Arabidopsis thaliana: one gene and its partners. The protein of the gene in region 2 interacts with the protein of the main gene of each other region in a biochemical or structural test. Each region holds a gene or a part of one and is shown on either strand. Other genes may lie near its edges. The genes, in order: HYL1, DRB5 and DCL3.

Region 1 (10,258 bases), on a different chromosome or scaffold from region 2:
AACTCCTTTTAGTAATTTCGTCGAACACCTTCTGTGCATCAGATATATTGCCTTCTTTACAGAATTTGTTCATCAAAATATTGAAAACGTACACATTCAAGGGAAACCCAGCATCCAAAATCTCCATATAGAATCCCCAAATAGTCCCAGTTGGATTCAGCTTCATCATCCGATCAAGCAAATTGCCACAGCCACGAATTGGAACATCAAACCTATGCTTCCGAGATAGCCTAAAACATTGAATAGCATCGGGTATGAAACCTAGATCCGTGTACGTGATCATCAAAGCATCAACAAGGAAACCACACATAGGTGTTACTCTCATTTCTACCAAAGAAATGAAAACTGAAGAAGCTGAGTTTTTGCCTTTACGAGAGACGACGAGCTCGATAAGTGACTGTGCTTCGGTGAACATTTCGTGAACAGCAAGAAAACGAGCCAAGACGAAGTAAGTCTCAACGGTAAAACGAAATCCAGGCTGAGATGAGATGAATTTGAAGAAAGCGAAGATAGAACGTTGTGGGAGGGAGAGAGGGTTATGGTTGATGAGATCAACCACATGATGAACGCTGAGCGAAGGCAGGACCTTTCTGATAGAGGGGCAGTCAGTGAACGAAGAGAACTCCAACGGCGGATCCTTGTAAGAATCTCTGATGGCAACTGAGAGTTTAACAAGAACTGGGTCATCGTCGTTGTCTGCCGCGGAGACAGATTCTTGAGAGTACCATGTTGACAAGAGGAATGATGCACGAGAGAATCTCTGTGGGTGAGATTGAGAGAGTGTGCATCTTAGAATTTCGATTCTGAACATCTCTGAGACTCTGACTCTCAATTTCTCCGGAACCGGCTATTTCCAGTGAGTAGGCAGTGACTTTTGAATGAAAAGTCGGGTTCTTAATGAGTAACCGGACTTCTGCGAAGCTGGTTCGTTTTGGTTAGCGTTTAATTTTCCGGTTCAATGCGTTATTATTTCGAATTGAATCGAGGAAGACTGTAACAGAAAGGCACTTGGCAACATCGACTAGGTTATATTGTAAGATGCTATAATTAGAAGGAAAATGTCTCCTTAAATAATCTCGAAAATTTGTTCACCAAAGAATTTGACTAATCACTAAATAAAGATGTTAAATGTAAGTAACAGAAGAGATAATGAAAATGATAGTTATAAACGAGATAAAAAGATCTGTTTCATAAAATATCTGGAGATTCTACAGAAATTGTAGCTAAGACACATGAAGAGAAACTCAAATACGGAAGCAACAACTGCAAAACACTGGGAAGATAGAACTAATAGCCTCCCTTGAGATCGTTGACGACATCGTACGGGATTGGAGTGACAGTCTCCAAGGTCATTCCTTCGACCATGAATCCTGGTTTGGGTCCTTTAGGCTGTCTCTTGGTGCTGATGGTCTCACCATTGGCTTTGGCTGCAGCCTTGAGCTCATCATTCTTCTTCTTCCTCAGCTTGAACTCCTCAGCACATCTTGATTGCTGCACATGCTCCACACGCACATGAATCCTCTTCCTTATGATCCTGTTGCCAATCTGAAACACCCCCAACATGTGTCAGTCATAATACCCAATATAAGTAGTACTAGCAAAAAGATTTGTGTTATTGTCATAGGATAATCCATAATCCATATTACACAGTAACATCTATAGAGAGACTTATAAAAACAAGATGAGTAAAAAAGGCCAAAGTTTAACAATTAAATAGTCATGAAAGAAAACACACTAGCAGTTTAATGAACACGAGTTGAAGTATTGAATAACTGGGAACATATGAACACTGCGTGCTAAGGCTAAAGACTAAACGAGACCAAAGCAATCAACTTTCAAATCTGAAACAGGATCACGAACCACGCTACTGCATAATAGAAGATAACATCTTTGAGCTAAAACTCAAAATCTGAGCTCAATTGTAGCATAGAAGAAGATTTACATTCCACAAACCTATACTCAATCACACATTTCTACATCAAAGCAATAGATCAACAATCCAAATAGCACACTAAGAAGCTCAAATCCTAATTCAATGACACAAAAGCTGAAGAGATAGGAGAGTTCATCAGACCTGTTTGTTGACTTCAACACCGACGGCGCGTTTAGTGACGTTCCAGATACGACCAGTACGACCGTGGTAGAACTTGTGAGGCATACCCTTGTGGATCGCACCATTCACCTTCACATCGACGTAATCGCCGACCTTGAAGGTTCTCAGGTAAGTCGAGAGTGGAATGTAACCCTTCTTCCTGAATGGCCTCGCGAACAGATCCCTCGTTCTCGCCCGAACTCCATGACCCGCTGGCATTTTTCCTCCTCGTGCGACAACTAAAACCCTAGATCGCCGAAGAAATGAAATGAGGAAGGCAGAGTGTATTTATATCTCTGTTTTGAGATTAGGGTTTCGTAAACGGACCTGTTGGGTCAGCAAGTTGGGCTTCTGTTTTTTAGAACCAGCCCACAAATAATCAAGAGTGAGGGTAATGAACCTTCTATTGGACTTTTGTTTTTTAGAACCAGCCCACAAATAATGAAGAGTGAGGGTAATGGACCTTCTGTTGGGTTTGTGTTTTTATAACCGGCCCACAAATAATGAAGTTTGAGAGTAATTTTCATTTATATGTAGATATGAAGCTTCTGTTTTGCAACCCCACATTACTTTATTCGAATGACTCAATCGACCACCAAATTGTACCAATCATATTAGTTTTGATTTTCCGCTCAAATATTACTTCTCTTCAATCTGTGAATTACTACTAGACTAGATAGGAATCACAAAATGGCTACGTAACCATATAGTAACTATGACAAACTCACAAGACTCCATCTTGACACTGTTATGCGTGGCTTGCTTCTGTCTCCACACTCCCAAATGCTGCCTCCTTTAACCCGCTCATGCATGAAGAAGATTCCAGATTTGGCGTTGTCTCAATTTTCTCTGTCTCCACACTCCCAAATGCTGCCTCCTTTAACCCGTTCATGCATGAAGGAGGTTCCAGATTTGGCGTTGTCTCAATTTTCTCTGTCTCCACACTCCCAAATGCTGCCTCCTTTAACCCGTTCATGCATGAAGAAGGTTCCAGATTTGGCGTTGTCTCAATTTTCTCTGTCTCCACACTCCCAAATGCTGCCTCCTTTAACCCGTTCATGCATGAAGGAGGTTCCAGATTTGGCGTTGTCTCAATTTTCTCTGTCTCCACACTCCCAAATGCTGCCTCCTTTAACCCGTTCATGCATGAAGGAGGTTCCAGATTTGGCGTTGTCTCAATTTTCTCTGTCTCCACACTCCCAAATGCTGCCTCCTTTAACCCGTTCATGCATGAAGAAGGTTCCAGATTTGGCGTTGTCTCAATTTTCTCTGACTGATCGTTTTGACAATGATCAGTAGGTTGAGGAGGGATGATAATATCTTCAGGATTTTTAGCTACTGTGCGTTTTCCTTTCTGAGCTTTCTTCTTGAACTGAGCCTTCCTGGCTTTAAGAGTCTTGACGGTTTCTTTAAGCGGGATAGCTGCCTGTATTGTCTTCTTCTCACAAGGAAGTACAGTAAGCTGAGTGTTGTAGTTGGCAAGGTTGTTTTTAGTGTCTGACTGGATCGCTAAAAGAGCAGTTCTCCCAGCGCTAATCTCAGCATCTTTTTTAGTTCTTGTTGCAGCTCCTGTGTACTTTATGCCTCCAATCTCTACAGTACATGTGAATTGTGTAACTCTCCCAAGAGTTTCGACCTTCTGGCACTGATACAATGGAATCGCGTAATTCATCTTTTGAGCGTATTCTTGAAGTAGGTTCTTGCATAATCCCGTTTCGTGCTGCATTAATAAGCCATTCAAAGTTAGACAAGAGCAATAACTTACAGAAACAGCCTAAGAATCTTCCCTCTAGAAGTTGGCAATACACATAAATCCGATAAGACAGAAGACACTTTATTAATGAGTGGATTCTTTAAACTCTTGAATCTCGATCATTGTCCAACCAAGAGCCTAGACAAATACAGAATGCCCCCTAACGTATTCTCACAGCTCCCCTTTAAACCTTCAACTCTGAAACTAACCATGAGCTTCCCTTTAAACCTTCAACGCTCAAACTAAGCATAAGGACTACTGCTGAGATGGCAAAGCTACAATTCGCTGCTAAACCCCTAGGCTAGGTTCAATAGTTTTGCAGTGAACTTAACAATAATCACGAGCGAAATAAGAAAGATGAGGTGCTTACAACAGGTTGTGAAACACATTGGCTTAGCTCACTGGATTTTGCTAATTCCCGGAGAGCAACCTCGGCAGCTGATTGCTCTGCAGCCTTACGATTGAAGAATCCAGGCAAAGAATTATATCTGACACCATCCAGTATCACAGTCGATTGAAATAAAGATTTGTGTGAAGGGCCTTCTTTAACGATCTCATAAACAGGCGTTGGGAGCTTGTACTTCTGAGCATACTCCTGCAACCGACTTTTGAAAACATAGCAATTGGAAACACCTGAGCAGGAAAAAAACTTCAAAATGAGGCAAAAGATAAAACAGAAACAGTGATGATGCTATCCACTACAGCATAAATTGCAAATAAACTCAAAACGACAACAGGGAACAGCAGTGAACGAGTTCTGAATAAAGCTGACGACTTTCACAAAGAAACTATACTTATCCAAAAGGGGAGAGACAGTTTTAAACCAAGCTTCTATGTTCCCTAACAAATTGAGTCAATAAATCATCATCTCAAAAGAGTAAACTTGCCAATTGCCAGAGAGATCTACGCTTAAACCCACAAGGGACAGATACACTTGTAAATTCTAACTAATCAAAACACTGCAATCCAATTTCCAAGAAGAAAGAAGTGAGTAAAGAACAGAAGAAAGGGGAAAAAGCATGATCTGGTTTCAAAATTAAAACCCGGAAAAAACAACCCATGAATGTTGAATTAGAGATAATGCAGACATGATGGTGAAGAAGAAGAAGAAGAAGAAGAAGTAATTCACCAGAGGAAACATCAGTGGAGGTCATTTTCACGAGCAGAATGTAGCTGAAGAGACGAATAATAGGTTAGTAGGGCACGGCGAAGAGCAAGAAAGAAACGTGCTGCTGCTGCGAAGAAGCAGAGAGAGAGAGATGATTCTTCTTCACCAAAAACCCTCTCCCCTCGACTTCCTCCTCTTTACTGATTTTTATTTTTGTTTTTTTTTCACAAGGGCAAACGAAAGAAGGTGGTTCTTAATTGTTATGTTACAAATGTTAATATTGAATTTAATTTCAAACCTTTATAAATTATATTATATTCCATAAATTTACCTTTTTGGTCAAATTTTCCATAAATATAATTTACTTGTGAATATTATATGAAAGCAAAATGTTTTTATCTTTGAAATATTTAATTTAATTAAAAAACTAATTACATATAGCCTAATTTCGTATTTCATATGTAGTTAACTAATGTATATATCCACAATTGATTAACCTTTTTATGGCTAACTTTATTCACTAGTAATCCCTTTGTTATATTCACACAGTTTTTGTATTCACAAATAATTAATTTGTTCTCCAAGTAAACATCAATAATGATAATAACCGTTTAATAAAAAATAAAAACAATTTGAGCCCATATTTGAGCCCACTTGAGCCTATGTCCCTTAACAGAAAAGAAAAATATTTGAGCCCATATTTGAGCCCACTTGATCCTATATCCCTTTACCAGAAAAGAAAAATATTTGAGCCCATACTTTTCGCTTCTGATAAGCGTAGAATAATAATAGTCGAATTTACCACCTTCCTTTTCGTTCCTTTTTTTTCTTCTCTCTTCCGAAACACCTCTGCCACGCGAGTACTCTCCACGCTCTTCGACAGTCGTGACCATCTTCTTCTCCGATCGTCTTCACCGGTTTTCTTGGGCATTCCCTCGTGCGTAAGTCTCTGTCGTTTCGTTTCGTCTATAACTCCCTCGGGTTTTGGTGAAATTTGATTCCTTTGTCCTGTTCTCTGCAGAATTGTTGCAATAAATACGACGAAGATGGTTGCTAATAATAATACTAGTAGCAATCGCAGGAAGAGAATCATTACTGAAGGCGACATCGCCACTCTTTTGCTGAGGTAAAAATATCTCCTTTTTTTGTTTTCTCTTTCCGAAAACGTTAGTGGATTTGGGTTTAGTCAGTGTGGCCGGGGTTTTTGATTTATTGACGCAGATATGATATGGAGACGATACTGAGAATGCTACAGGAGATATCTTATTGTTCCGAAACCAAGATGGACTGGAATGCGTTGGTGAAGAAGACCACTACCGGAATTACTAATGCTAGAGAGTACCAGTTGCTATGGCGTCATCTTTCTTATCGGCATCCTCTCCTCCCTGTGGAAGATGATGCTCTACCTCTGGTACTTATTCTGTCTCTCCTCTTTCCACTTTTGATGAATTGTAAAAGACTCAAGTTTATGTTGTAGAGTTAGTTAGTTTTCTTCAATAAAAACTCACTACTACTTTGTGTTATCAGTATCATCTAGAAGTGAGTGTGATGAAATACTAGTTTATGTTCTATGTGGCAGTGGATACTAAAACTTCTTGGTAGCATTAGGGATCGATGAGTGTCTCTCGCTGGTGTAGTTTACAGATTTTTTAAACGAAAGTTGCCTGTGCAGGACGACGATAGTGACATGGAGTGCGAATTGGAAGCTTCTCCTGCAGTCAGCCATGAAGCATCAGTGGAGGCTATTGCACATGTCAAAGTAAGAACGGAATCATAGATTTCATTCCCTTGACAGAATTTCAGAATCTGAAGTCCCTAGGCTCTATTCAGGATAACACCTTGCTGTTTTCTTAATGATTAGTGTGTTGGTTACTTGTTCTGCATATCAATCTGTGCTTATCCAGAGTTCCCATTTTATCCAAATATCATTAAGTTTTCGTTTCTCTTGTATTCCCAGGTGATGGCTGCTTCATATGTTCTAAGTGAGTCTGATATACTCGACGATTCAACAGTTGAGGCTCCCTTGACTATAAACATACCTTATGCTTTGCCTGAGGGTTCTCAGGAACCATCAGAGTCTCCTTGGTCGTCAAGAGGGATGAATATCAACTTTCCGGTCTGTCTTCAGAAAGTTACATCTACCGAGGGGATGAATGGAAATGGTTCAGCTGGTATTAGCATGGCTTTTCGGAGGAAAAGGAAAAGATGGTCTGCTGAGGAGGATGAGGAGCTGTTCGCCGCTGTAAAGCGATGTGGTGAAGGGAACTGGGCTCATATTGTTAAGGGAGACTTTAGAGGAGAGAGAACCGCCTCCCAACTCTCGCAGGTTGTGATTTCTCTTATTCAATATTGACTGCTCTTTTTTCATTAGTTTCTTTGAAGTCATTTTGTAGTGTATCTTATAGTCTTGTTCTTTGTATTACAACCTGTTTATGCATCATTATCTATATTCTGTTGACGATGAATGGTGGATATTACCTTCCCTCTTTCGTGTTGTTGGAGGTGGTGGCTCTTTACAGACGAAGTACCACTTTGGTAATTACTCTAGAAATATATCTGTTGTCATCTAGTCTGGTATGGACGTGGGGTTTTTCCCCATTTTTCCGGGTTCGAATCCCGGCAACAGATTCTTTGGATGATATGAGTAATAGTCTTTTGGCAATCATAGAAGGTAGCTAATAAGACTAATAAGACTAAGTTTTATGATATTTGTATCCATCTTTGTATTTTTTACGCATATACTTTCCATCTGATAAAACTTAACAATACTTTAGCTACTTGGACGAGCATGGGACATTTTGCAATTGCTTACTCTTTTTCCGTTATTGGTGGTAACAACTGACTATTTTCTTTGTAGAGGTGGGCGCTTATAAGAAAAAGGTGTCACACTTCGACCTCTGTTAGCCAATGTGGCCTACAAGGAACTGAAGCGAAACTAGCAGTTAACCATGCATTATCTTTAGCTCTGGGAAATCGGCCCCCTTCAAATAAGCTTGCAATAGGTACAAGTAGCAGAAGATCCTTCCCTGCTAATTCTAGTATTTATGTTATAACAGAGGATGCTTTGGTTTGGTTACCACTGGCTTGTCTAAATCAGAAATTAGCTTACCTGTTTAACTGCGGTGGGGTTTGTGGTTATAATATTTGGGTAATTTTCTTTGTTTATTTGGTTCATCAATTAGACTGCATTTTATGCAGGTCTTATGCCAACGACGTCATCTTGTACCATCACAGAAACGGAAGCGAATGGGGGAAGTTCTTCTCAAGGTCAACAACAGTCCAAACCAATTGTTCAAGCATTGCCTCGGGCAGGAACATCACTTCCGGCTGCAAAGTCTCGAGTTGTTAAAAAAACAACAGCAAGCTCCACTTCCAGATCGGATCTTATGGTAACAGCTAATTCAGTAGCTGCAGCTGCATGCATGGGTGATGTATTGACTGCTGCATCAGGACGAAAGGTCGAACCTGGAAAAACTGATGCTCCACGAGTGCCAAAGACTAAACCTGTAAAACATGCTTCTACAGTCTGCATGCCTCAGCCCTCAGGTAGCCTCTCCATGCCAAAGGTTGAACCAGGAACGAGTGTTGCCGCCTCTATACGGTCTCTAGCTAATGGAAAATTGAAACCTGTTATGGCTTCATCATCTTCCAACAAACCTCCTCTCATAGCTCCTCGTTCAGAAGGATCTTCAATGCTTTCTGCTTCCGCCCCCTTGGCTTCTCTATCAAGGATTGTCTCCAATCAGAGAGTTTTTGCAGGCTCTGTCCCAGCTACTGAGATTGTCACTTGCAAACCAGATGGTGGACAGAAAGGGCAAGCTCGTGGAAATGAAGCAAGCTCATCGGCTGCAATCCAGCCACATCAAATAACCTCAAGAAACTTGGAGATTAGCCAGGGAAAGCAGGCTACACAGGCTCAGTCCCCTAATCTCTTGCCTAGGAAAGTTCCAGTAGTTCGGACTGCAGTTCATTGTGCCACTAACCAAAAGTTGATGGATAAACCATCTGATCAAACTGTAGTACCTATCAGAGGAGCTGGTTCGCAATCTAAAGCCAAAGGTGAAGTAAACAGTAAGGTTGGTCCGGTGATCAAAGTGAGTAGTGTTTGCGGAAAACCCCTTGAGGTTGCAACTGTGGCAGGGACCGGACAGGGTGTTTAGTTCTTTGACAAAATCGTTGGATACTCTGTTTTGGAGCTTTCATTTGTAGTTTTTATTAGACTGAAAGAAAGATATGATGTAAAGGAAGCCATTCAGTACATTGGTACTAATTAATAAGAATCTCATATACTTACAATCTTCAAACTCTACAGCATATAGTTAGATTTGAATCTCAGGACTATTAAAGTTAAGGGAGATCACTTCTTCAGCTTCTTTTGACATATTCAGGGAGCTTTGCAGGTGGGATAATGTAACTACACTGTTTGTTCAGAGCTGGAGATGGACTGACACAAGAGAAGATTGTTGAGGTTTGCTTCGGTTGTTGTTTATACTTCTTTAACTTGACACCAAACAAGAATGACCTTAGTGGAATCCTAGGCTTTCCAGCTGATGATGGCATTCTCTTGCTCAGAGATCTTGTAGCCGTCCCATCCAAAATCCCAAGATTCTCTTCTAGTTTGCATACAACTCTTTCCACTTCAGCTCTCAGTGCTCTTGCACGATCAAGGCCTGCTTGAAGTTCGTTGAACACCCTTTTGTTCTCCTGTTTCATGTTAAGTATCTCACCATGGAACTTTGCAGCCTGGTAACCTCTTATCTCTGTATTGCTTACTTCAGTTGCACCCGATTGAGACGTGACCCTTGAAACTTCATCTTTGATATTGCAAAGTGTTGCATACCTACCCTCAAGTTCGTCTCTCAGAATTGCACTGTTCTCTAGCCATAACTGCAGCTCTGTCCGAATCTCTCTAAGGTGTCTATATATAGGCTTTGCCTCTGATGCAAGTGCAGTGTTACTACTGCTCCCAGCATTACCTTGTTGCTTGCTTTCAATTTTCGATAGCTCTGCTTTCAGGTCTTGAACTGATGTGTGGTACTTCTGTATCTGATGAACAGATGTGCTAAATCTTAACCAGAATTCAATATTCTCTTCCAGCACCGCATCAATATCTCCACGCACTTTTTCTTCCACAGTTGGAATTTTCTTTCTTAGGCTGTCACTAATGCCTGCAAATTTCACCTTAAACCCGTCTTCCTTTTCTTGTTCAGATGCTCTCTTCAAGTCTCCTCTTTGAGGAAGTGGTGGCATGGAGAATGAAGAGTTAGAGCTATGAGAGATGCTCACACTTTCAGCCCGGTTTCTT
Region 2 (9,287 bases):
AATAACAAAAGTCTAAAGATAAAATACAGAGGACAAGAAGACAGAACAGAGTGATCCTGTTCTTGTCTTAAGGACAAAGTTAGAGTAGAAACAAACAAAGACTTAGATTATTGCAGTTTGTTCTCTATTACTTGCCACACAAATGAAGATTCTTCTCTAAAGGTCTGAAATTTAAAGCAGTAAACCCATAGACACAGAGATTAGATATCTTGGACTTAAACACAACCTGCTCCGTTGTAGTTCTGAAGCCAGGAACGTTGCAGGAATCTTTGGACCTACCGATCAAGCTTGCTTGACAGGAAGCCATTAGAGAATCTTTCTTTGCTTCAGCGGCGCAAGCAACGCCTTCCAGAGACGTTATGTCTAGCTTGTAGAGTCCAAGCTCATTTGTGGTTCGATTTGCAGAGAACGTAATCATCTCTCTAGTTCTCGATGAAGCTGAATTGAATCTGCAGATTATTCTCACTTCCACACCTGTATTTTTTTGTTCAGTTAAAACAAAAGTGAGAGACATTTTAACTATAATTTCAAACAATGTTGATAAGATTCTTTACCGGGAATGAAATAGCTGTGATTGGAGAAACTGTTGTTGGAGCAGACGTCGCAGTAAACAAGACCCATTACAGTGATCTTTCCATTTGGTTTGGCTGAAGAATGTTTCAGAGACAGAGAGTTTAAGGACAGAAGTTGCAGAAGTAACAGAAGCATTATCAGTTTCTGCTTCATGTTCACAAGTTTCAGTTTTTTTCTTTATCCTTGGATAAACACTTGTTTACAGATGAGGTTTCCTTTTTGTTTATGTGGTTGATGAAAGAAACAGACAAAGAATGGGCCAAGTGGTTAAAGACAAAAGAACAAACAAAGATCAAACAGTAACTCCATTCAAACAAAGCTTCAAGCTTGTCTTTTTTATAAAACTCAAGACTCTTGTGGAAAAAGAGATGAGTAAAGAGAGGCACAAAGAGATGAGAGGCCAATTAAAGGAAAAGTAGAGAAACTGAGAGATTGGTTGGTTAGGTTTAACATTTATTGAGCTCTCATGCTCTCTATTTTAAGGGTTTTTGTCTATGAATCCCCTTATAAAAAATGGCTAAAACTGGAAAATGGAAGGGAGAAGGTAAGCCACTAGTGTGTATATATATGTGTATGGACCACTGAAAGTGAAGTGTAAACATCATCAATTCATCAGCATAAACACCAAGAAAGTAGTCAGAGGATATGGCTCTTTAAATATCAATACAAGAAGCCAAACTATGATATTTTCCCGGTTTACTCTCGGTTGTGGCTGAATTCTGGAAAGAGAATTTCAGGTTAACTAACTATACAAAGATAAGCTCACATTATAGACTTTTGTTCGTCACATTATAGAACAGCATAAGACTTTATTGCATAACAATTTCAGGTTTAAGTGTACTAGAGAAGATAAGCTTACATTACAAGTTCATCAGTTGGAAACAATATATGGGCTTGAGCTTTAAAGAAGGCCCATTAAGCTTGAAATTGTTCTTCATGTAAGATTGCTGCAGATTTTACTTTAATTTTTTTTTTCTTTTTTTCTTTTGCCCTTAAATTCTTGTAATGCTTCTAGGTGACTCCATCCACTTTATGTGTTGTTTCCCAATCATTTCTATTTTCAACTTTATTTTTTCCTTTCACAAATTATTTTAAGTTTTAACATTATTTTCTTCAACATACGAAATTTATACAGTAGTTTTTTTTTGCAGGTACATATAAATCAATAGTTGAGAAAAAGTGGAAAACAATAGAGATAAAAAAAATTAGATGTAAATTCGCTGTAAAACAAAATGTTTAAATTTCTTTTCCGTTATCGAATCTCTTTTATGAATAACAAGGTCGAGTACTCAAGGTAAGGAAACAGACCATTAGAAAAGTGCCACGTCAGCTTATTTCGTTCTTCACTTTTAGCTTCTGAAAAGTACTTTACCTGAACTAAAACGACGGTGACAGACTGACTCCAGTAGCTGCTAACAGTCGATTTTTAAAATATTATATTTATTTGCAGGAAAAAAAAAAAGTGAAGGAAGAAGAAGAAGTTGGAGAAGCCAAGAGCAAATCTAATTCTCTGACTACTCTCATTTTCATGTCGGAGACTTGCCGAAATCTAAAGAATTTCTTCAACGGAGACTGAAAAGCTTTCTCTTTTCTTCTTTCGTTATCTTCGTTTTAGTGTTTTCCCCTTTGCTTACATTTGAAGAAATCGAGAGCAAGCGATAGAAAGTGAGAGAGAGAGATGTATGTGGTGACGCCTCCTCAAAGATCCGGTTTTGGATCCGATTGTGATTTACGGGTTTACCAAACATGGAAAGGAAGCAATGTGAGTTTTAATGTGAAAGCTTTAGGTTTTGGAATTACTTGCTTCTGTGTTTATACTTGAGCTAGTTTTCTGTTATTTTTCCTATTATTGTGTATAAATTAATTATTAATCCGTTCATGGGCTCAGTTTACTCTGTTTCCAATCTTGTAAAGCTTAAAAATTGGGACTTGGGTTTGTGTTAGAAGTGTAGCTTTCTGGGTAGTTGTCTACATTTAATCATGAAATCTTTACCTTTAATCAATACCTTAGGACATTATCTGAATATGCTTGCTACATTTATAGGAATGCTTCTTCATACAAAGGTTATATAGTTGATGCTGTCTGTATATTGCTTTCAATGTCGAATTTAAATCTGGTTTAGTAGTAACCTAGTGGAATTAAACATTTTGAGGTTTGTTCCTTAAATCCTTCTACCCAAAGTGTTAACATATTTTCTAAATTTGTCCCATTTCTGCAGATATTTTGTCTTCAAGGAAGGTTTATCTTCGGGCCGGATGTAAGATCACTTGGTCTGACCATAAGTCTTATTGTGGCACCTGTTACAATTTTCTGCATCTTCGTCGCTAGCAAACTAATGGATGACTTCTCTGATAGTTGGGGAGTCTCAATAATCCTTGTTGCTGTTGTCTTCACCATTTATGTGAGTACAAAAGTTTAGCTTTGCATTGTAAAACGTTTTGTGACTGGATCATTCATAACAATTAATGCTTCCCTCAGGATTTGATTTTGCTGATGCTTACATCCGGAAGAGATCCAGGGATTATCCCAAGAAATTCTCATCCTCCAGAACCAGAAGTTGTTGATGGCAACACGGGCTCGGGAACAAGCCAAACTCCAAGATTGCCTCGTGTTAAAGAAGTGGAAGTTAATGGAAAAGTATTCAAGGTCAAGTACTGTGATACTTGCATGCTCTATAGACCGCCTCGCTGCTCACATTGTTCGATTTGCAACAACTGTGTAGAAAGGTTTGACCATCACTGTCCTTGGGTTGGTCAATGTATTGCTCAAGTAAGTTTCTCGGTTTTTCGTTTTCCTGTCCGTTAGTTTCTGACATCAGTCTATATAATTCATCTCATTCTCCTTGGGAATTTGCAGAGAAACTATCGATTCTTCTTCATGTTTGTCTTCTCCACGACTCTTCTCTGTGTATATGTGTTCGCCTTTTGTTGTGTCTACATAAAGAAGATCAAAGAGTCCGAAGATATAAGTATCTTGAAAGCAATGCTCAAAACTCCAGCTTCCATTGCTCTGATACTCTACACATTCATATCTACATTCTTCGTTGGAGGCTTAACATGTTTCCATCTCTATCTCATCAGCACAAATCAGGTACCCTAATCATTTGCCTCTTTCTGAAAAAACCTCTCTCATTCGATATGCGTGTTTAATCGTTTGATCTTTCTTTATTCTGTAGACTACATATGAGAATTTCAGATACAGTTATGATCGGCATAGCAACCCACATAACAAAGGAGTGGTTGATAACTTCAAAGAAATCTTTTTTTCTCCAATACCTCCTTCAAAGAACAACTTCAGGGCTATGGTACCAAGGGAAAATCCAATGCCGTCGAGATCAGTTGTTGGCGGTTTTATGAGTCCAAACATGGGAAAGGCCAATGATGATATTGAAATGGGGAGGAAGGGTGTTTGGGCAATGGCTGAACATGGTGATGGCAAAGATGGCAATAACAATGAACGGTTTCATGTTAACGACAATGAGTTAAACGAGTTATCACCAGACATGGGGAACATAGTGAATGGTGATGAGCAAATCAATAGGCCAAACAATCACCCGAGGAACGCAAACTGGGAAATGTCACCAGAAGTTATGGCCTTATCAGCAAGAAGAGCTTAGAAGCAGGTTAAGAGAAAATTGAAAGGTGTTTTAAATGTTTGATGTATTGATGTGTTGTGTGTTTACACGGGAATCAATTGTGAATTGGTGTGATATTTTCAGATGTTATGAGTATTTTTAGTTGTTCTTCAGACATTTAAATCGTAAATCATTGTGTGTTAGTGTAATCTATGACTTATCTTTCACAGAATGAGAAAACAAAATGAATACCGACGATTTTCATACTGTACTTTGCATATGATAAAAATTGCAGAAACTGAATTTTCAGACAAGTGGACCAGAAGACCAGACAACTCTTATTATAGTCTTCATTGAAGCACGGCTCTGTAATAAATGCAAAAGAGCTCTAAAGGCTTCTTATTTGTTCTTCAAAGCTCTAAAGTCTAAAGGTTAGAGATTTAACATCACAAGCCAACATTTTTGGTTTAGGAAATTGAAGATTAGCAATAATATAAAGTTTTTTTGGCATTGAACAAAGACAAAACACAATGAACATAATCAACAAATTGGTCAAACTAAACATTAATAAGTGCCTCAAAGTATCAGACTAAATCATTTTCACTAACATTTATGAAAAAATAACTGTTATTAACTGAGGACGAAGGTAACTGACCAGTCAAACATCATAGACAAAGACAATAAAGAGAGTCAATAGCATTGTTCATAATTGTTATTTGTATGCACATGTTATAAATTATATAAAAAGACTAACCTTATTTCAATTGAGATGTCACTATTACTGTTTTAGCATCCTCTTCTACTCTTTATTTAGAACCTTTAGTACCTTACCATGTGAGTGAAGAGTTCAAAAACCTCTGCAAAAACTTTCTTTTTTATCTCTCTCTCTTCTTTAAACTTACTTTCAAACACTAAATAGCCAAAACTTAAGATACCAAATTTCAACAGGTCGGCTTTTTCGTTTGTCTTCTCTTAAGACTTTACCAAAAGAGATTTGTGGTTTCTGGAGTTGACTTTGGTTGATTTTGGTGTATTTACAGGGGAAAAAATGTATAAGAATCAGCTTCAAGAGCTTGCACAGAGAAGTTGTTTCAACTTACCATCATATACTTGCATAAGAGAAGGACCAGATCATGCTCCAAGATTCAAAGCTTCTGTTAACTTCAATGGTGAGATATTTGAGAGTCCCACTTACTGTTCTACTCTCAGACAAGCTGAGCATGCAGCTGCTGAAGTTTCCCTTAATGTCCTTTCGTCTAGAGTCCCTTCAAAGTCTCTAACTGCTAAGATTCTTGTAAGTTCTCTGTCTTTTCTTCTTGGTTTTGATCATACACAAAAAAATGCAAAAAGAGTAACATCGTATATCTTCATGTCACTCTTTATACAAGGATGAGACAGGGATTTACAAGAACCTGCTTCAAGAGACAGCACATAGAGCTGGTCTTGATCTACCAATGTACACAAGTGTGAGATCAGGATCTTGTCACTTCCCAGGTTTCTCTTGTACTGTTGAACTTGCTGGGATGACGTTTACAGGAGAATCAGCAAAGACAAAGAAACAAGCTGAGAAAAACGCAGCCATTGCAGCTTGGTCCTCTTTGAAGAAAAGTATATATAACTATCTTCCAAATTGTTCCATCAACCCCAAAAAAGCTTCTCACTTTTCTACTTGAAACCATTTTTCTGTTTCTCTACTGTGCAGTGTCAAGCTTGGATTCACAAGATGAAGAGAAGGAACAAGAAGCAGTAGCAAGAGTACTCTCAAGATTTAAACCCAAAGAAGTAAGAAGACGAGAGACAACAAACCAATGGAGAAGAAGAACAAGTCAACAAGATTCAAACAAGGATTTGTTGATTGAGAGATTGAGATGGATCAATCTTTTGACCAATCAAGCTTCTTCATCATCATCAACATCAACACCGAATCAACACAAAAACTCCAGTTTCATCTCTCTAATTCCCCCACCACCACCACCTAAATCCTCCAAAATTTTGCCATTTATCCAGCAATACAAAGACAGATCATCACAAGAAGCTAAGACAGAGACAGCGACAGAGATGATCAACAGCAAAGCCAAAGTCAATGAAACATCAACCAGATTGAGTAAGCAAATGCCCTTTTCCGACATGAACAGATACAACTTTGTCGGAGGGTGTAGCGTAAACCCTTATAGTCTGGCTCCAGCGGTTCAAATGAGATCAGTGATTCCAGTTTTCGCAGCTCCACCACCGAAACCAAACCCCAACCTTAACCCATCATCATTATCATCATCAGTCAATGAATTCACCTCATCCAATAATTCCTGCTCTGTTCTGAATACGCCGGGATTGGGAGGCCAAGAGAAGAAGAATCTAACTCGCGAAATGATCAAACTTGGTTCAGAATCGAGAATTTTGGATCAAACCCATGATAGTTAGCTAAATTTGGTTAATGGGTTAATCTCAAATTAAATCCTTGTCAAGTGTTTGTCACATAGATAAATTATAGACCAGTATGTTTCCGTTTCTTGAATGTGTTCTTGTTTTTTTTGAAGTGTTTGAATTTTCTAAAAGTCCGACATGAACTTTGAATGCTTGCGAATTGCACAGAGAACGAAAACAAAGAGAGAGCATTAATTAGGGAAGAAGATGAAGAAGAGAAATGGGAGTTTGCAAGAAAACAATTAATGGGTTTTGTTTTGTCTTCCTCCATTAATGCGCCGAATGCTCTGCTCTGCTTCCCACTCTTCATCATTAATGGTTTTGCTCTGTAACGTCGGTTCCAACAAATAAACTTAATAATTCGAAATTATAAATTTCACAAGTTACATTTTTCTTTGTGTAAAGATTTTGGACCATATAAACATTATGGTTTGCGAGAATGACGTTTGTGTCATTATCCGATTTAGATCCGTATAATCTATGTTGTTAGGAACTCAGGATTTTGCTCAAATATTCAAATTGGTATATTTTGACTTTGATGAAATTATTTTGGTCAGACCACGAGACTTGATTGCTTCTCAATTATTTGGGCCGGTCCATTAATTTGGGGCCATCTAACTTTTACGTGGGCCGTAACAAACCGAAACATAAAACTAGTGACCTACCTAACCATATTACCCCAACCGGACAGGAGGTAACGAGTTAACCAGCCACTTGTTCGGCTTGGAAATTTTTTTAATCGTCTGACAATTTATGACGTGGATCCAAGTAGCAAGAAAGCTAACATGTTGTTGGATCTGATCTGATCCACGAACCTACCATAAATCAATTTTCTCATTATCTTGACAGGTATATCTTGCATTATTATACGTCAGATTTTCGTGGATACAATATTTTTAAAATGCAATCCATATTTACTTGATTTCCAAAAATGGGTTTTTTCAAAAGCACAATTTCCAAAAATGGATCACAATTTATTAACGGATTCTCAACTTGCAAATCAAGCTTAAATTATAATCTTTTTTAACTCAGAATTTAATATAATCTTTTTTTACTCAGAATTGATTAAACTAACAGTTATATTGATCTTGAAATCACCTTTAATATCTTGTTTTAAATCTTGTGTCTTGCAAATCACGGTTCATAAATATTGGAGAATCGAATAAATAAATTATTTCTATTCCTATATTGCGTAATTTTATTTTTTGACTCTCTATTGCGTAATTACACTCGTCAGATTTCGTGGATGAGTACTCAGTAAATCTTATTTTAATTAAAAAGCTTACTAGTCTAATTGCTGCAAATTTGACCAACTATACAGTTGTGTTGCATTACAATATTTCAAACCATTAATAAAACGTGTAAAACATATTTGGAGTTGAATGAAACTACATTTTCCTTTATGTCAAACGCACTTTTCAAGATATATCTCGAACAATTTACGTATTATTTTCACAAATTTTGTTCCACAATAATTTAGGTTATTTTGGTTTTTGTTGTTGTTTTTTGAGTCTGAAATTTCAAATTTGTATTTTTTTTTAATATATATTTAGGCAGGAATCTTTAAAATGAAACCAATAATATATTCACTAAGTTTGGAAAAAAACCAAAATTTCATAATTAACGGGACAATGACTAAGCTGTGGAAAAGATAACATAATCTCCCAATGACTCAATGCCACGTATAAGATGAGAACCGTACTCTTCTGTGTTCGTACCAGATCCCTCAAAAGGCGGGAAGAAACCATCAAGAAAGGCACATTGCTGACGTGGAATGGAATATTCGAACACGCATATCCAGCTCCTTCCTCCTTTTTCCTCATATCCCTTTTTTCTCAATATAAATACTCTGCAAAAAAACACCCACAAATCCTCACACAAAAACGTTTTCGAAATCCCTAATCTACTCTCTCTTCTCTATATCTCTACTCTTGAGAAATGGCTCTTAGAACTGTGCTCGTCTCCGACGTCCCTAGCCTCCCGGATTCTGTCTACGGTTTATCCGAAGGTATTTCTCTCTCTGTCTCTCTCTCTCTGTTTCGTCGGCTATTGAGCTGTTTTCGTTTCTGATGATCTTGTCTTTGATTACAGGTTTAGAGTTGAGCAAACCGACGTCGTTTAGGTTACCGGGGTTTTCGGTGATTGGACATAGAGGAATCGGTATGAATGTGTTGCAATCGTCTGATCGGAGAGCGAGAGGTGTTAAAGAAAACTCGATTCTTTCATTCAATTCCGCCGCTAAGTATCCGATTGATTTCATTGAGTTCGATGTTCAGGTTGGTACTCCGATCTATGTAATCAACTTTAGGATTTGAATGAGACAGAGGATTGGGGTTTTATGTTTATGTTTTTGTGTGTGGAAGAAGATTCTGATTTAGATATCTATTTATAGATTCTTAGAAATTGAAATGAAAAATAAGAACATGAAGATTTGAAGAAAGAGAGAGAGATGGCACATAGAGAAGCATTCCAAGCTTTGTGTGGTTTTTCTTTTGTAGGTGACAAAAGATGATTGCCCTGTCATTTTCCATGATGATTTCATCTACTCTGAAGAAAATGTAAGTCTACATTGCTTTCTTCATAGATCTTGGTTTTATATTTCTGGATCTTGTCTTCATGGATCTGGTGTTTGTGTGTTATGGTTCAGGGTATTGTTAATGAGAGTAGAGTGACGGATCTGAGTCTGTCTGAGTTTCTCCTTTATGGACCTCAGAAGGA
Region 3 (12,876 bases), on a different chromosome or scaffold from region 2:
AGATAGTTTCAGCAACAACGACGATATCGAAAGAAAATCTTTATCTGCCTTCTTTGATGCTAAATCTAATGATTCATTCACTCACTCCATGAGACTGCTCACAGAAAGGTTCCTATGTTCTACTTCATCTATGTAACTTGAGATCCAAGCTACTCTTTTAAGTTTATAAAGCTCATGTTGTTTATTGTTGTTATGGCATGACAGTGAGAGAATGGAGTTGGTATACAAAAACCATTTTATAACATTACTACTTCCAATCGATTGGTATGGTGAAATGGGACCTTCTTCCAGGTCGTATTTCAGTGAAACCGGCTTTACATGTCAGCAGATTCTCCAAAACATCTATGCATTCTATCAGGTAGCAATGTCCTCATATGTGCCAGTATCTCGTTGACGAAACCATTTTCAAAGTAGTTTTGTGTGTTGTATGTACTGTCGCAGGAAAACATGTCCGAGGAAGAACTCAAAGCAGCTATTCACACCAACTCGAGGCACAGTGAAAAGCTCCGAGCAGCGGACTCGGTGATGAAAGGCGGGAAGACTGTATTCAAACGTATTCAGTTTCTCGGATCCGAGAAAGGTTTCGAGATGCTAAAACGTGTTAGTAGCTTCAACTGTAGTAATGTCTATGAGCTTATCATTAAGGCATAACAATTAACATATAAATTAGAGATTCAGATACAAAACTATTATTTGGGAGTTCTCGCATTTCCAAGATCTGCTCGAGATGACTAAATGTGAATCATATATAGTACAGTCTAAATTAGTCTACTTTTGTATTATGACGATCTTGCGGCGCTCGAGCTCATAAAGCAATTCCACGACTGCAGAGTCGAAGGAACTCTTCTTGTCAGGCCTTGCTTCTCCAGCATACATCACAGCCTCACGATTGGGTATCCTTAGGGTTATGGTCGATGTGAAACTGCTGAAGCTAGTCCGCTTCTCACCGCCATCTATGAATTCAAACGGAGTTCTGTGCAGTTATCAGTCTCAGATTGGTCAGGACTCGGGATACATGAGAGCAGAGAAAAAAGGAACCAAAATGAGAAGTCACCTGGATTTCTCTTCCGAGGTATCGAAAGTAGGCATTGGCCACAGATGCTTCTTGCAAAACTCATGTAGAGTTCCACGAGGCCCGCCTTTCTTCATGTTTATAGGTCCAATAACTGAAACACATAAAACCATGAAATGCATAACCCTTGATACAAAAAAAAAAAAAAACTGAAGAAGAAAAGAAGAATCTCTCTAGGTAAATAACAGTGCTTACATGGAATCACTATACTCTGGATTTCAGTAGTCTCTGAAGTCAGAGTTTCTCTGTCGCTATGATTGCAAGCAAGATTGACATCCATGGAACTTTGATTATCCCCGAGCGAGGTTTTACGTGAAATGTTTCTCTTCTGAAGAACCAAAGAAAGTTTGAGCACACACACCAACACACACGCAAGTGGAAACATCAGAATATATATACCTCAAGTTGTGTAAGCAGATGTGAAGCTGCTTTTCCCAAGGCCAGTTTATTTGTCTGTTCAGATCCATCTCCAGTTAAAAGAACATCATCCAGCTGCAACTGGATCGTGGCTTGTGCTTTGACACCATCATTTGAACATTTCACTCGAAAGAAATACCCAAGAGAGTCGCATAGCTCATTGAGCTCCCGGTATGGAGGAAGCTGAAGTTTATCTGGAGTTACAAGTGGAGAAAGCAACGGCTCAAAGACTCTCCACACTTGATCGAGATCTAACCTCGTATCGATCAGCAATGCTCCAGCGATACTCTCCACAACATCTCCAAGAGCCTAAACCAAAATAGACAAGTATGTCAACCTATTTGCTCTCTTTATAATCTGAAATCTCAGGCAGGGACTTTAAATGGTCATGCAAGTATATTTTTTACCTTAGGGCCCTGTATTGAAGGGATTGATCTACCAGTCTCATCTGGCTTTTGAAAGGACATCAGATAGTCGTTTATTTGAGTCTCGAGAACCGTAGCACAGCGTTGAAGGTGGGTATGCAGGTTATTTTTCACTGCAACTTGCGCAAAATTTTCATTGTTTACACATGCAGAACGAAGATCGGTCATCTCTCCAGGCCCAGTTTGTTCGTAGGTGTTAAAAAGATGACGGGTTATTAGAAAATCCAGTACAGAATCGCCAAGAAACTCTAATCTCTGTTTGAGGAAAAAAATGATAGCATGAGGTTGGAAACCTGGGAATAAGTCAGCCAAATAATGCAGGGGTTGAAAATGATGAAGTCATACCTCGTATGAATAGGATTCACGAAGAGAGGAGTGTGTGATAGCCTCTTTTAAAAGAAACTTTGCAGAGAATTCATGTTGGATCTTTCTCTCCAACTCTATGAGCTCATCTTCTTTAGGAATGTAACACCGTAGAGAAACTCTATTGATGGCTTCAACGACTAGGTTTGGGTCAAAATCGACGTCAATACCGAGCCATTTCATCATATGGAGAGAAGCAGACAATCCACCGCTTACATAATAGGCACCAATCAGGGCCTCAGCGCAATCTGATACAGATTTTGAAACTACCCATCTATGACCCATGTCGCAAGACTTGCCTATTTTGATAGTCATGTTTTCTGTGAAGAATTTTGGGTCCAATGGTACTTCTCTAGTATCAATCCCACACTTGCAAGGAACAGGAAAAAGAGAAAATTGACCAGGTGCAGTCCAGCGACGCGGTTCAAAAGCGCCATTTCTTATGTATCCCTATCAAACCAATCCCCATGGAAAGATATTTCTTTGGTGTTCTGACTGATGTAAGACATTACTTGCAAATGTTAGAAGATACCTGTAGTTTGCGACTGGTTGTCAAGCGGTGAAGATTTGAGTTAGATATAATCGATTGTCTCTGCCGTGATAGTTGCCCCTCATCTTTGTCAGGATACTTAAGGAATAGATGACAGCTCGCAACATACTTCAAGACTGAATCCCCGAGCAGTTCCAACCGCTCCATTGAAAATGATTCGGGGCATGTAAGTGTTGTAACTGCTTCAAGAATCTGATTTATTGAACCAAGACAAGAGTTTAATGACAATCAAGATATCTAGTTTCATCTCTAAATGACAGATAGTTTTCAAAAACCATACCGATGTACTTGATATACTGAAGTTATCTATGCTACAATCAATCTCTTCCCTAAGCTGGCTGGCCAACATTAGAGACTCTAGGCGGTGCATCACTGAAGGCAGCAAGTAGATTGATTTTAGCACAGCACGCGGTACATCAATTCTAGCCAAAAGCTCTGGAGGCAAATGCGCATGGATATTCGGTTTTCTTTTCCTAACATTGCCAGCTTTTGGTTCTGTCTTCACAACCACTGTCCATTTACATTGGAAACAACATCTTAGAGCTCACACACTACAATATCATGAGAACATACACAATGATTCCATATGTTGGAGAAATTCTCAAGAATCAACTTACTCTCTTCATTGAAGTCGACTAAAAGGTTGTGCGCATGGTGACTCTGCTTCAACTTCATCAACGGCTGGTTCGGGTGCGCTAAAACAATCCCATACCTGATTAAAAGGGAATAACATTAACTAGAGAGTTATGATAAGTAGATTGAAAGAACAGCCAAAGCTAGAATATCACTTACTTTTTGTTAAAATATTCTGCATAAGTAGCATAGCCTGATGAGGCATCCACCTCAAAGGGGCTCATAGCAGAAGAATCGCTTACGGCTTCAACTATAGAGTATATCCGTCCAGTATGAATTGCAATGACCACAAGTTCTTCGAGACTATTTTTATCAGACGAAGCATTGGCAAAATGAATCAGATTCGTTTCTTCCATTTTATCGTCTAGTAAGACTTCCTGACCGGATGAGGTATTGCACTGATTCCCATCACTATCCCGAAGATCAAGAAGAGAATTTTTCTTCAAGAACTCAACTATTGAGGCACAGGAGTTGATAGCTGACCAATCAATTGTCGCACTCGAAGCTAGATCATTTGTTTCAACTGGTAGCAGTAGAAACATAAAGGCAGGGTGCCAAAGAGAACTAGTGTCAGTTTGAAGCAAAAATTCTCTCTTTGTTCCCTGTGACTTAGATCCAACAAACAACTTTCCAAACATGCCATTAAAGAAAAACTGCTGAAAATATTTTGCTTTGACCAGCTGCATCCAAAACACAAAGAAGAAGACATCAAGTTCAAACCATGAAACAAGAAACTGTTTATAACTAGGGATCAGAGTTATGTACCTCCTCTTGACTCAAACGTATCTGGCCACAAGGTGAGACAGAAGCCTTGACAAGCTTCCTGACCAAGTAAAGGTCCATCTCAACTTTACCAACATCCTCGGCGAGAGTTGACTCAAGCAAAAGAGAGAAACTCGAGTATACTTCGCCAGAAATATTACAACAGAAGTCAAACTTATAAGCCTGAAAGGTGGCGCCATCAATATTTTCTCCCCAGGTTCCTGACAATGCGTTTGCACAGGTTGTTCCGTGCAACTCCTTACGTTTTTTTGAACCTGTTCAGCGAAAAGAAAAAGAAATGTATACATAAATAAACAAATTAAGACAAGCTCCATGACCTTAGACATAGACATATGATATGCAACTGCTGATGTGTGCGTGTATGTGTGTGATACAACAGCGGCTGATAGAGGAACTAAAGACTAAAATCAGCGACACCAGCTAATTGACGAATTAATAAATTAGAAAACATACCTGCAGCCGATGAAGATGATTTACTTTTAGAAGAGGCAACCTTCTCTTTGCCGTTGGATTGTAAGAGATTGTTATCCAAGCGTAACTTTTTACACGGTGGTAACTGCTCATTTCTGCTAGGAGGATCACTCATAGTTTGTGTGGAAGCTGCTTCCTCAGATACAGTTATGTTAGAATCTGGGATAACCATGGATCCAATCTCCTTCACACCGTGTCCATTTTTCACTGGAGGTGGACACGATTTCAAGTTTGGAGCTTCTGGATCTTGAATTAGGACTTCTCTTCGCATAAGGTCATGCAGATGGTCTCTTTGCTTCGGGTTCCCTCTACAATAATTAGTATTCAGAAATAAGCTACAAAAACTGGAATTTGGTAAACATTTTGTGTTAAATAAATATTGCTTCCTACCTTTCAAGAAACATGATAGACTTAGAATTACTCTGTTTGGCATGTTTTTGAGACTGCGAGTAACTACACATTGTTTTGGGCAGGTCAAAACAAACCATGCATGAGCAATCTGGAACCTGAAATCCCTCTTCAACCACATCTGTGATGAATAAAAGATTCACCTACATGCATTAAAAAGCTTTCAGAGAAGACAAAATAAAAACATTTCTCAATCTATAAAACATCTGACTGTGATGAAGAACAGGTAACCTTGCCATGTTGAAATAAATCAGGGATTTCAATTTGCATTTTCTGTGCCGATACATTGGTGGAGGGGTTGTTTTCGGTTAAATACAAGACATTAAGGTAAGCCAAAGAGGCTTCTTTCTTAACGAATCTTTCGATCACTTTCGCAGTTATAATTCTCTCAACTAAAATAAGGCACTGCTTTTGCTTGTCACCTCTGCAAGCAAATTGAAATTGTCAGAACAGATGGAGATCTTGGTGCAATTTTGGGAGTTGGATAAACAATTTAAATTTACCTAAAGGAATCCAATAGATGGAAGAGTTCTTTTAGCTTTGGAGATACATGCCCAGAAATTACTGCTGACAGATGGTTTTGCTGCAAATCTACCAGACTCTTATCATCTGTTAAATAACACAAATGATAAACAGTGTAAAAATTAGTGACTAGAAGAGGACTCAATGCAATATAGAGCTTTGAATACATTACCTTGCGGCAAATACACCCCAATGGTGGATAAAATATCCTCAAGAAATTCCTTGCACACCATTGAGCATTCTTTATAAGTTTCACTTTCCTCTTTCGTATCTGAGATTTTCTCCAAGCAGACTTCAGCCGCCTATCGCGAAAGCAAGATGAAAAAAAAAAGAAAAATAATCAGCACAACAGGTATGCTAGCGGGAGAAAAAAGTAACAATGAGTAAGCAAATGAAGAACTGGTAATAAAAACTAAACTGGTAGAAAAATACCAAGTGTGCGCAAATCAGGCCAAGATTATCAAGGCAATGCAAAATCTCTCTGTAGTCGATAGACAATCTCTTTTGATATGTCTCAAACTTATTATCCATATTCAGAAAACTGTCTTTTCCCAACTCTTGAAGCCTTCTAAGAGAAGCATCAAACTGTACGAAAAAAAACAGAATATTTTTCAAGCACTCTGAAACATAATAGGAAAGAGTCATGTTCTGGATCATATTCAGTGAGCATATATTATATACCTTGAGGTGTGAAGTTTCTAACTTTTCTTTCAATTCCAAACTACAGGATGGTGATGGGTTATACAATATTGGACCTTCTTTAACCGTTGTAGCAAACTTTTCCACTCCTTCACGCTCTTCAGGATTAAAAATCTGAATTCAAAGTAAGATTGCATAGCATTAATTTGTAAACTATATCTGTTTCCTTGTTACACAAAAACAAAGTACCTTTGAGTCCATGAGTCTCTCAAGTTCTGATACTTGAGCTGCATAGTTAGAGGGAGAGGAAACACTTGTAGTATGAGTTTATGTTCCTTACATGAAGTTCAAACATTAAAAAGTAGTTACAGGAAGCAGGATCTTTGGTTTGGCATACAGAGGAAATAAGAAACTTTTAAATAGCATGCCTTTTCTAATGACGGCTGACGCAGTCAATCCAAATATCTTCGGTTTGCTAGTGGATTCGTGATAGAATTCCTTCATGAAAACAAGAAAGAATCTAGTTCGTTGACAAGTTATGGAAACTCTATTATGAAAAAACTAATAGAGCTTATCATTACTGAGAAAACACACCTTCATTAACTTCGCATAGGGATGATTGCCAGTGGTATGGTGGCATTCATCTATTATTAGAAGACATACCATCTCTAGTTTCAGGAATGCACTTCTAAGGACATCCAATAATATTTGAGGAGTCATAACTAAAACCTGAACCATACAAAACATAATTTCATTGCAGATAATAGACTCACGTGGATTCGGCAACAAAAGAGAAGTATGTGATTCTGTTAGTGAGATCAATGCAGTCACAAATCTACGTCAAGGGCTCAAGCAAACAAGTTCAAACAAAATAATTAAGAAATAATCAGCATTGGAAGAAGAACCAACCCCAAAAGTAACAAATTGGAATGGGCTTTTAACTAACTCAGAGAACATTCATGACTCAAAATACAACAATGAGCTGGTCAAAGTGGATTACAACATTCTGCCAAAGTTTCACTAACCACACAAAGAAATTTTGATATAAAATCACCAAAACTACAAGCAAGTCACTTTGTTGGCGTATAACTAGCCAAATATACACAAAAAGAAACAGAAACTTACATCGTGCTTGCTAAATTCCTCATCCCAGCGCTGAGATGTCCATTTATCAACTCCTTTAGCTCCAAAGTACTCTTCAACTTTCAAATTCACAAGTGCTCTGATCTCACAGCATTGCTAAAACCACACACACCAATAAAACATTCAAAAATAAGCTCCCAAGGCGACTCATTAGCCAACATCATCAACTCAAAATGATTAAAATCCAAATGAAACAGTTTTTCTTTTTACAATCAAACAAGAGACTTGCCTGTTTAACAAGATTCACAGTTGGGGCCAAGAAAATTATCAATCTTTTGTCTGTATCAGAAGAACCCATAGCTTTGATAAGCCTCTTAGTGATCTCTGACTTATCAATCCCTGTCCCCAAAACAGCAATTATGTTCCTGTTCTTAGCAACCTCGTACACTTTCAATTCATAACTACTGCCAAAAAAAAAGTAAACTTTAGTGAAAAAGACTAAAAACCCATAAGACCCAAAATCAAGTACAAAGAGAGGAAGATGATGATACCCATTAGAGTCAGTCATCATAGGAGAAGAGACAGAATCAAGATTTTGATCTCCATCGATTTCAGAGAATTTTCTCTTAAGCGAATTGCTTCCCCCACCTTCCTCCATTTTCTCCGGCTCCAACGACGAATGCATGACGAACGGATAAAAAGGAACACACTTAACGGGAAGAGTAGAGGAATTTCGAATTTCGACTTTGAGATTAAAACAAAAAGGTGATTCTTTTTCTCTTTTTCTGCACTGACCACTGGGCAAGTGTATAAATGAGGTCAGAACATGAGTTTCGAATGTTGAATTTTTAACTAGAAAAAAAAACTGCAACAAAATTAGTCAAACTATATTAATTTTTGGGTTACCTTTTTTCGATACTTTATTTTTGATTTTACTCTTTCTTCAAATATTTAGGCCTCTAAGGCCCAATGGACCTGACAAGATGCATAGATTCATTGGATATACTGCTGATTGATTACTTTTCTTCAATGTGCAAGCTGTTTCATGTTGTAAGTAACTTCGCTTTTTTTATTTATCCGGGTAATCTGGTAGAAATGTACTAAAATACTTTAGCGTGGACTTCTTCCCAAATAAACACCACAATGTATGTTCCGAGTTTGGAATGATTTTCGACTAAAAGAAAGCTAAAAATGTAGAAGAGGGGCTGACTTATGTTAATATCATCTAATTCTAATGTCTCTTTCAACCCGAGACAATTTACCTTGTTTTGTCAGAGATTATTTATAATTTGTTAGGTCATGAGGATTTCGGTCGGGTTAAATCATAACCAAACTACATTAACAACTCTCACCTTGAAAATTAGATAAATATAGAAATCGAAAAATGACCAAATTTTGAGAGATTTTGAATACGGAAAAAGAATAAACAAAATATTTTTTTCTAATTAGTGAAGAATTTTCTGAAAGCCAAAGGAGCAGAGAAAGAGATGCAATATATAAGTGAAATCACCAAAACATTACTCATTTTTACATGTTAGATATGTCACTTAATTTGAGAAAATGAGTAATATCTTGTATCACTTGTAGCATGACCATATGCAGCAATGAGTAGTGCATTAGCTCGAGCATTGTCGTCAATTTTCGTTGTCAATTTAAGTGATGGAAACATTTCCAGTGCGAGTTTCCTGCCACCATCCTACGAAGAGAAAAGCAAATATTTTTATTGCAATTGATGTGAGGATAGACATGAAATCATAAAAGTTTGAGAGTTAAGATTCATCACCAAACTCCAAATACTAAGATTAAAATGTTTGTCCCATGTAGAAGGAGTAACGTAAATAACAGAAATGCTAGATGTGAGAAGTGTCCATAATCCACATCCAAGTCCATCATTGTAGGCAGTCTAAGATATAAAGACACAATCATGTTTCAGTGTATCGAATCCATATCATAAACGTACTGAAGTAAAAAAAAAAAGAGATGAGTAATTTTTACAATAGCGTTTTCAGGATGAATATATTTCGCTACAAATGCCTTGGTTCCTACAACAGTGAAGAGACCAAATTGATTTTAAACATAACGCAAAGAACACGCCACAACAAAAACACAGTGAAATATCGTTCTTACCGGATGGAACATCTAGACTACGAATCAGTTCTAGCATTGATTTTTCGTTGAAACTACGTGTTCGGATGTTTTGAACTACAACTTCCAACTGAGGAGTATCATATACCTTCACACAGATTTAACACACAAAACTTAATCCATATCAAAATGACTAAAGTGAATTTTCCACTGTATTCACCAAGAGAACAGTTTACAAAGCATGTCTTATTTAACTTAAGGGATAGATAACAAAACTCACTAACTCAATAGTTACAAACAGGTTAATTAGTTGTAAATCTTCTATCATCCAATATTAATTTCATTCATATAATTCCTATAGATAACAATCGAACCTTGTATATATAAATTATGATAAACCAAGTCCATCTGCCTGAGATTACCCAATGAAATATCGAACCTTGTATATATAATTTATGACTAACCAAGTGCATGTCCTGAGATTACCCAATGGAATATCTTAATTTACTTCACAAACCCTAGAATCTTGTAGTTTCACAGTTCTAGGGTTTCAGAAGAAAAACAATATTCTTTTCGAAAATTAATTAGTAGCGATTCACCTGAGCAAAACAAGATCCCTTGTCGTCGAATTTCAGCACAGCCAAAGCTCCGGATAAGTTAGGGTCAATCCCAATGATCCAATGTGGCTTAAAATTCTCTTGAATCATCTCGTCGTAGTTTGGTGAAGAAGAAGAGAGAGGATTCAACGATTTTTGCTTCATTAAAGCCTTATCTTTGTCCTTCTCATGTAAGGAGAAATATCGAGAACGGAAAGATTTGAGCTTAGAGGAGAAAGTCGTTGCCCTTAGTTATACCTACAAGAATCAGGGAAGTAAGGAACGTAAGTACAAAACTAATTAACCTACTCACGTACGTTCATACAAAGTTTGTAACAATGGACCACAAACGTAGAACTAAACAAACCATTATGTAATCATGTAACCAACCCATGTCCATAACTTTCTTGTACAATAAGTCATAGATTCATTGGAGCCTAAAAGTGTAGGTTATATAAGAGATAAACAATAAAAACTTACGTCTCCCAAAGATCTATATATTTACTTAAACGAAAGATTAATTAGAACTAACTTCTTTTTCCTCTTCCACTGCTTTGTTTATTCAACATAAATTTGCGCAGCTAAATCGTTTTAGATACGACGAAATCGACTATTGGAAGTAAGAAAATTTGGGATATGAGAGAATATGCTCTGCAATCTGGTGTGATCTACCAAATATTATCTGAAGCAACGAAACGAGTCACTATTTAATGTTCAAATTAGTCGTCTATTACGTTTTAGGTTTTTTTTTTTTGTTTTGTTTAATGCAAAAATAAATCCAAAAAAGTTTAAATATTTATTTAACTAAACAAGTACATAATTGTACATCCCAGAGAGATATTACGTTTTACCTTTCCAACATGACTCAGCTGAACGACATTATCAACATAAAATAAAATTTCATTAACAATCCAACTTAAAAATAATTAGATAAATATAAAAAAACGGAGAATGACCAACTCAGTTGGGAGACAAAATTCAACACATAAGAAGAAGCTACGCTAGCTAGTGAAGAATCTACTACCACCATGAATCATATGTTTGATTAGAAAATGATTTTTAGTGGAGAAAAATCAATCACATAGATCAGACACATGGTTAGAGTCCCTATATACAAGAATTGGTTGGCCTTTTAACCAAACCTAAGATTCATAATCTAATTTTTACTTAGAGAGGGAGTGATGAAAGAGTTTATTATAGACACTAGAACTTGTTGCAATTAATGTACATTAGCTAGAGATTATCCAAATTTAGAATAGAATCGACAGAAAAGATAACAAAGTTTTCCACACCTCCACAGGAGTATCATATACCTTCATAGATTTAACACACAAAACTAAATCCATATATATCAAAATGCTAAAGTGAATTTTCCTCTCTATTCACCAAGAAAACAGTGTACAAAGCATGTCTTATTTAACTTAAGGTTAGGAATAGATAACAAAACGCACTAACTTAATAGTTAGAAACAGTTTGATCTATAATATTAATTGGAAATTACTCAAAAATAAATAACTATATAAAGGGTAAAATATTACATAAAATGTTCTCAAACTAAGGCAAACTAAGAGATTTCGTCAAGGGGTAAAATGGGCAATTTAACACATTCTGACACACGGATTCTGGATATATGGGTCGGATCTATATCCAGTCAAATTCGGATAACACGCGATCCGGCCGGTTGGAATCTACACCTACATTTTTGCAACCATTTTAGCAAATAAATCATGTACTTGACACTTATTTACAATGGCATGCCAGTGGCATTAAATATTTTATTTTGCTAATTAAATACGAAATATTCTATTCAATAATAGTTGCCAAAAATCTCTCAATATATCTAATTGGTATTAATTATTCAGATTTGAAAATTTAAAAATTTTATATTGCGCTCAACAAACGTTTCCAAAAATCTCTTCAAAACTTTCTACACGGGTTTATTCACATATCTATAATCTGAGATTTTTTTCATCAACTAATTACTCCCAACATACATTTTCCGAGATTTCTACTCTACGATATCTGTTGAATTATATATCTTTTAAATTGATTTGAATTGTATATATCTTTTAAATTAAAATATTACTTAAACAAAAATAATAAGATAATGTTTAATTTCACTGCACGGGGTTAGATGATAGGACGAGTTTGGGTCGATAGTAATACGAGACGGTATACCATGGGTGAAATTCATTAGATGGTAGGACGGGTTTGGTCAATAGTAAATTGAGACGGTATATCACGGGTGAAATTCTAGATATAACAATCAAAATACAATTATATTATTTTAAACACTATACAAAAGAAACAATATTAACAAAAAATATAATTTCAATTTTAATTATTGTTATAGTTTAGATTTTAACATAATGAACTGTATGTTATTGTTCCCATATTTTTAAACAAAATCTAATAGAGTAATTTTACACTAAAAAGTTATAGATATAAGAATTGTATAGTTAGAAAATAAAAAACATTAAATCATATATATTTTTAATCTACTAAACAAATTAAATGTTTTATTTTTAAAAAAAATTATATAATCCCACGGTAGACCGCGGATAAAAATCTAATATGGCAATATTGTTATAAACATGTGGATCATTCGATTGGATGGCTGGTTGGGATTTTGGGAATCTTTGCCATACTCCTGCAATTTAAACAAAACAAAACTAATGTCAAACCAAAAATGACAGTTATCATTTAAAGATATTTATATAACAAACGTATCCCATTAGTTTCGAAATGTAAATAAGAACAAAAAATTGTTTTTGTAATATTAAATGTTTTGAATAGTAAAGGTAATAAAAACTAGTTAGAAAAGTATCC

Evidence for each region.
Region 1: the proteins of DRB5 (region 2) and HYL1 interact in far-western blotting, tested with the Arabidopsis thaliana proteins (one study listed by BioGRID).
Region 3: the proteins of DRB5 (region 2) and DCL3 interact in far-western blotting, tested with the Arabidopsis thaliana proteins (one study listed by BioGRID).

The regions. Positions count from the first base shown.
Region 1 is NC_003070.9:3,135,120-3,145,377, forward strand, and holds HYL1 (dsRNA-binding domain-like superfamily protein), read right to left. Parts: upstream 5,235-10,258; 5' UTR 5,000-5,234; coding exon 4,975-4,999; intron 4,479-4,974; coding exon 4,216-4,478; intron 3,813-4,215; coding exon 2,841-3,812; 3' UTR 2,530-2,840; downstream 1-2,529. Other genes in the region: AT1G09680 (Pentatricopeptide repeat (PPR) superfamily protein), read right to left, coding at 1-811; AT1G09690 (Translation protein SH3-like family protein), read right to left, coding at 1,288-1,545, 2,075-2,311; AT1G09710 (Homeodomain-like superfamily protein), read left to right, coding at 6,000-6,079, 6,175-6,364, 6,626-6,712, 6,911-7,279, 7,811-8,075, 8,152-9,113; NET2B (Kinase interacting (KIP1-like) family protein), read right to left, coding at 9,319-10,258. UniProt on the Arabidopsis thaliana protein: Double-stranded RNA-binding protein involved in RNA-mediated post-transcriptional gene silencing (PTGS).
Region 2 is NC_003076.8:16,433,351-16,442,637, forward strand, and holds DRB5 (dsRNA-binding protein 5), read left to right. Parts: upstream 1-4,914; 5' UTR 4,915-5,096; intron 5,097-5,188; 5' UTR 5,189-5,196; coding exon 5,197-5,442; intron 5,443-5,536; coding exon 5,537-5,756; intron 5,757-5,850; coding exon 5,851-6,566; 3' UTR 6,567-6,705; downstream 6,706-9,287. Other genes in the region: AT5G41050 (Pollen Ole e 1 allergen and extensin family protein), read right to left, coding at 128-474, 555-726; AT5G41060 (DHHC-type zinc finger family protein), read left to right, coding at 2,252-2,335, 2,793-2,975, 3,053-3,343, 3,431-3,664, 3,750-4,190; AT5G41071 (uncharacterized protein), read left to right, coding at 6,719-6,901; GDPD2 (PLC-like phosphodiesterases superfamily protein), read left to right, coding at 8,508-8,577, 8,661-8,845, 9,068-9,127, 9,217-9,287. UniProt on the Arabidopsis thaliana protein: Binds double-stranded RNA. May be involved in RNA-mediated silencing.
Region 3 is NC_003074.8:15,748,723-15,761,598, reverse strand, and holds DCL3 (dicer-like 3), read right to left. Parts: upstream 8,052-12,876; coding exon 7,918-8,051; intron 7,831-7,917; coding exon 7,656-7,830; intron 7,523-7,655; coding exon 7,409-7,522; intron 7,013-7,408; coding exon 6,878-7,012; intron 6,782-6,877; coding exon 6,708-6,781; exon of another isoform or gene 6,597-6,707; coding exon 6,533-6,596; intron 6,458-6,532; coding exon 6,326-6,457; intron 6,230-6,325; coding exon 6,077-6,229; intron 5,947-6,076; coding exon 5,817-5,946; intron 5,732-5,816; coding exon 5,626-5,731; intron 5,547-5,625; coding exon 5,354-5,546; intron 5,266-5,353; coding exon 5,105-5,265; intron 5,023-5,104; coding exon 4,697-5,022; intron 4,498-4,696; coding exon 4,226-4,497; intron 4,141-4,225; coding exon 3,620-4,140; intron 3,540-3,619; coding exon 3,445-3,539; intron 3,338-3,444; coding exon 3,108-3,337; intron 3,020-3,107; coding exon 2,810-3,019; intron 2,728-2,809; coding exon 2,260-2,727; intron 2,170-2,259; coding exon 1,897-2,169; and 9 more. Other genes in the region: AT3G43930 (BRCT domain-containing DNA repair protein), read left to right, coding at 1-108, 205-358, 442-651; AT3G43910 (MutS2), read right to left, coding at 8,910-9,062, 9,150-9,269, 9,362-9,408, 9,494-9,599, 10,051-10,212. UniProt on the Arabidopsis thaliana protein: Ribonuclease (RNase) III involved in RNA-mediated post-transcriptional gene silencing (PTGS).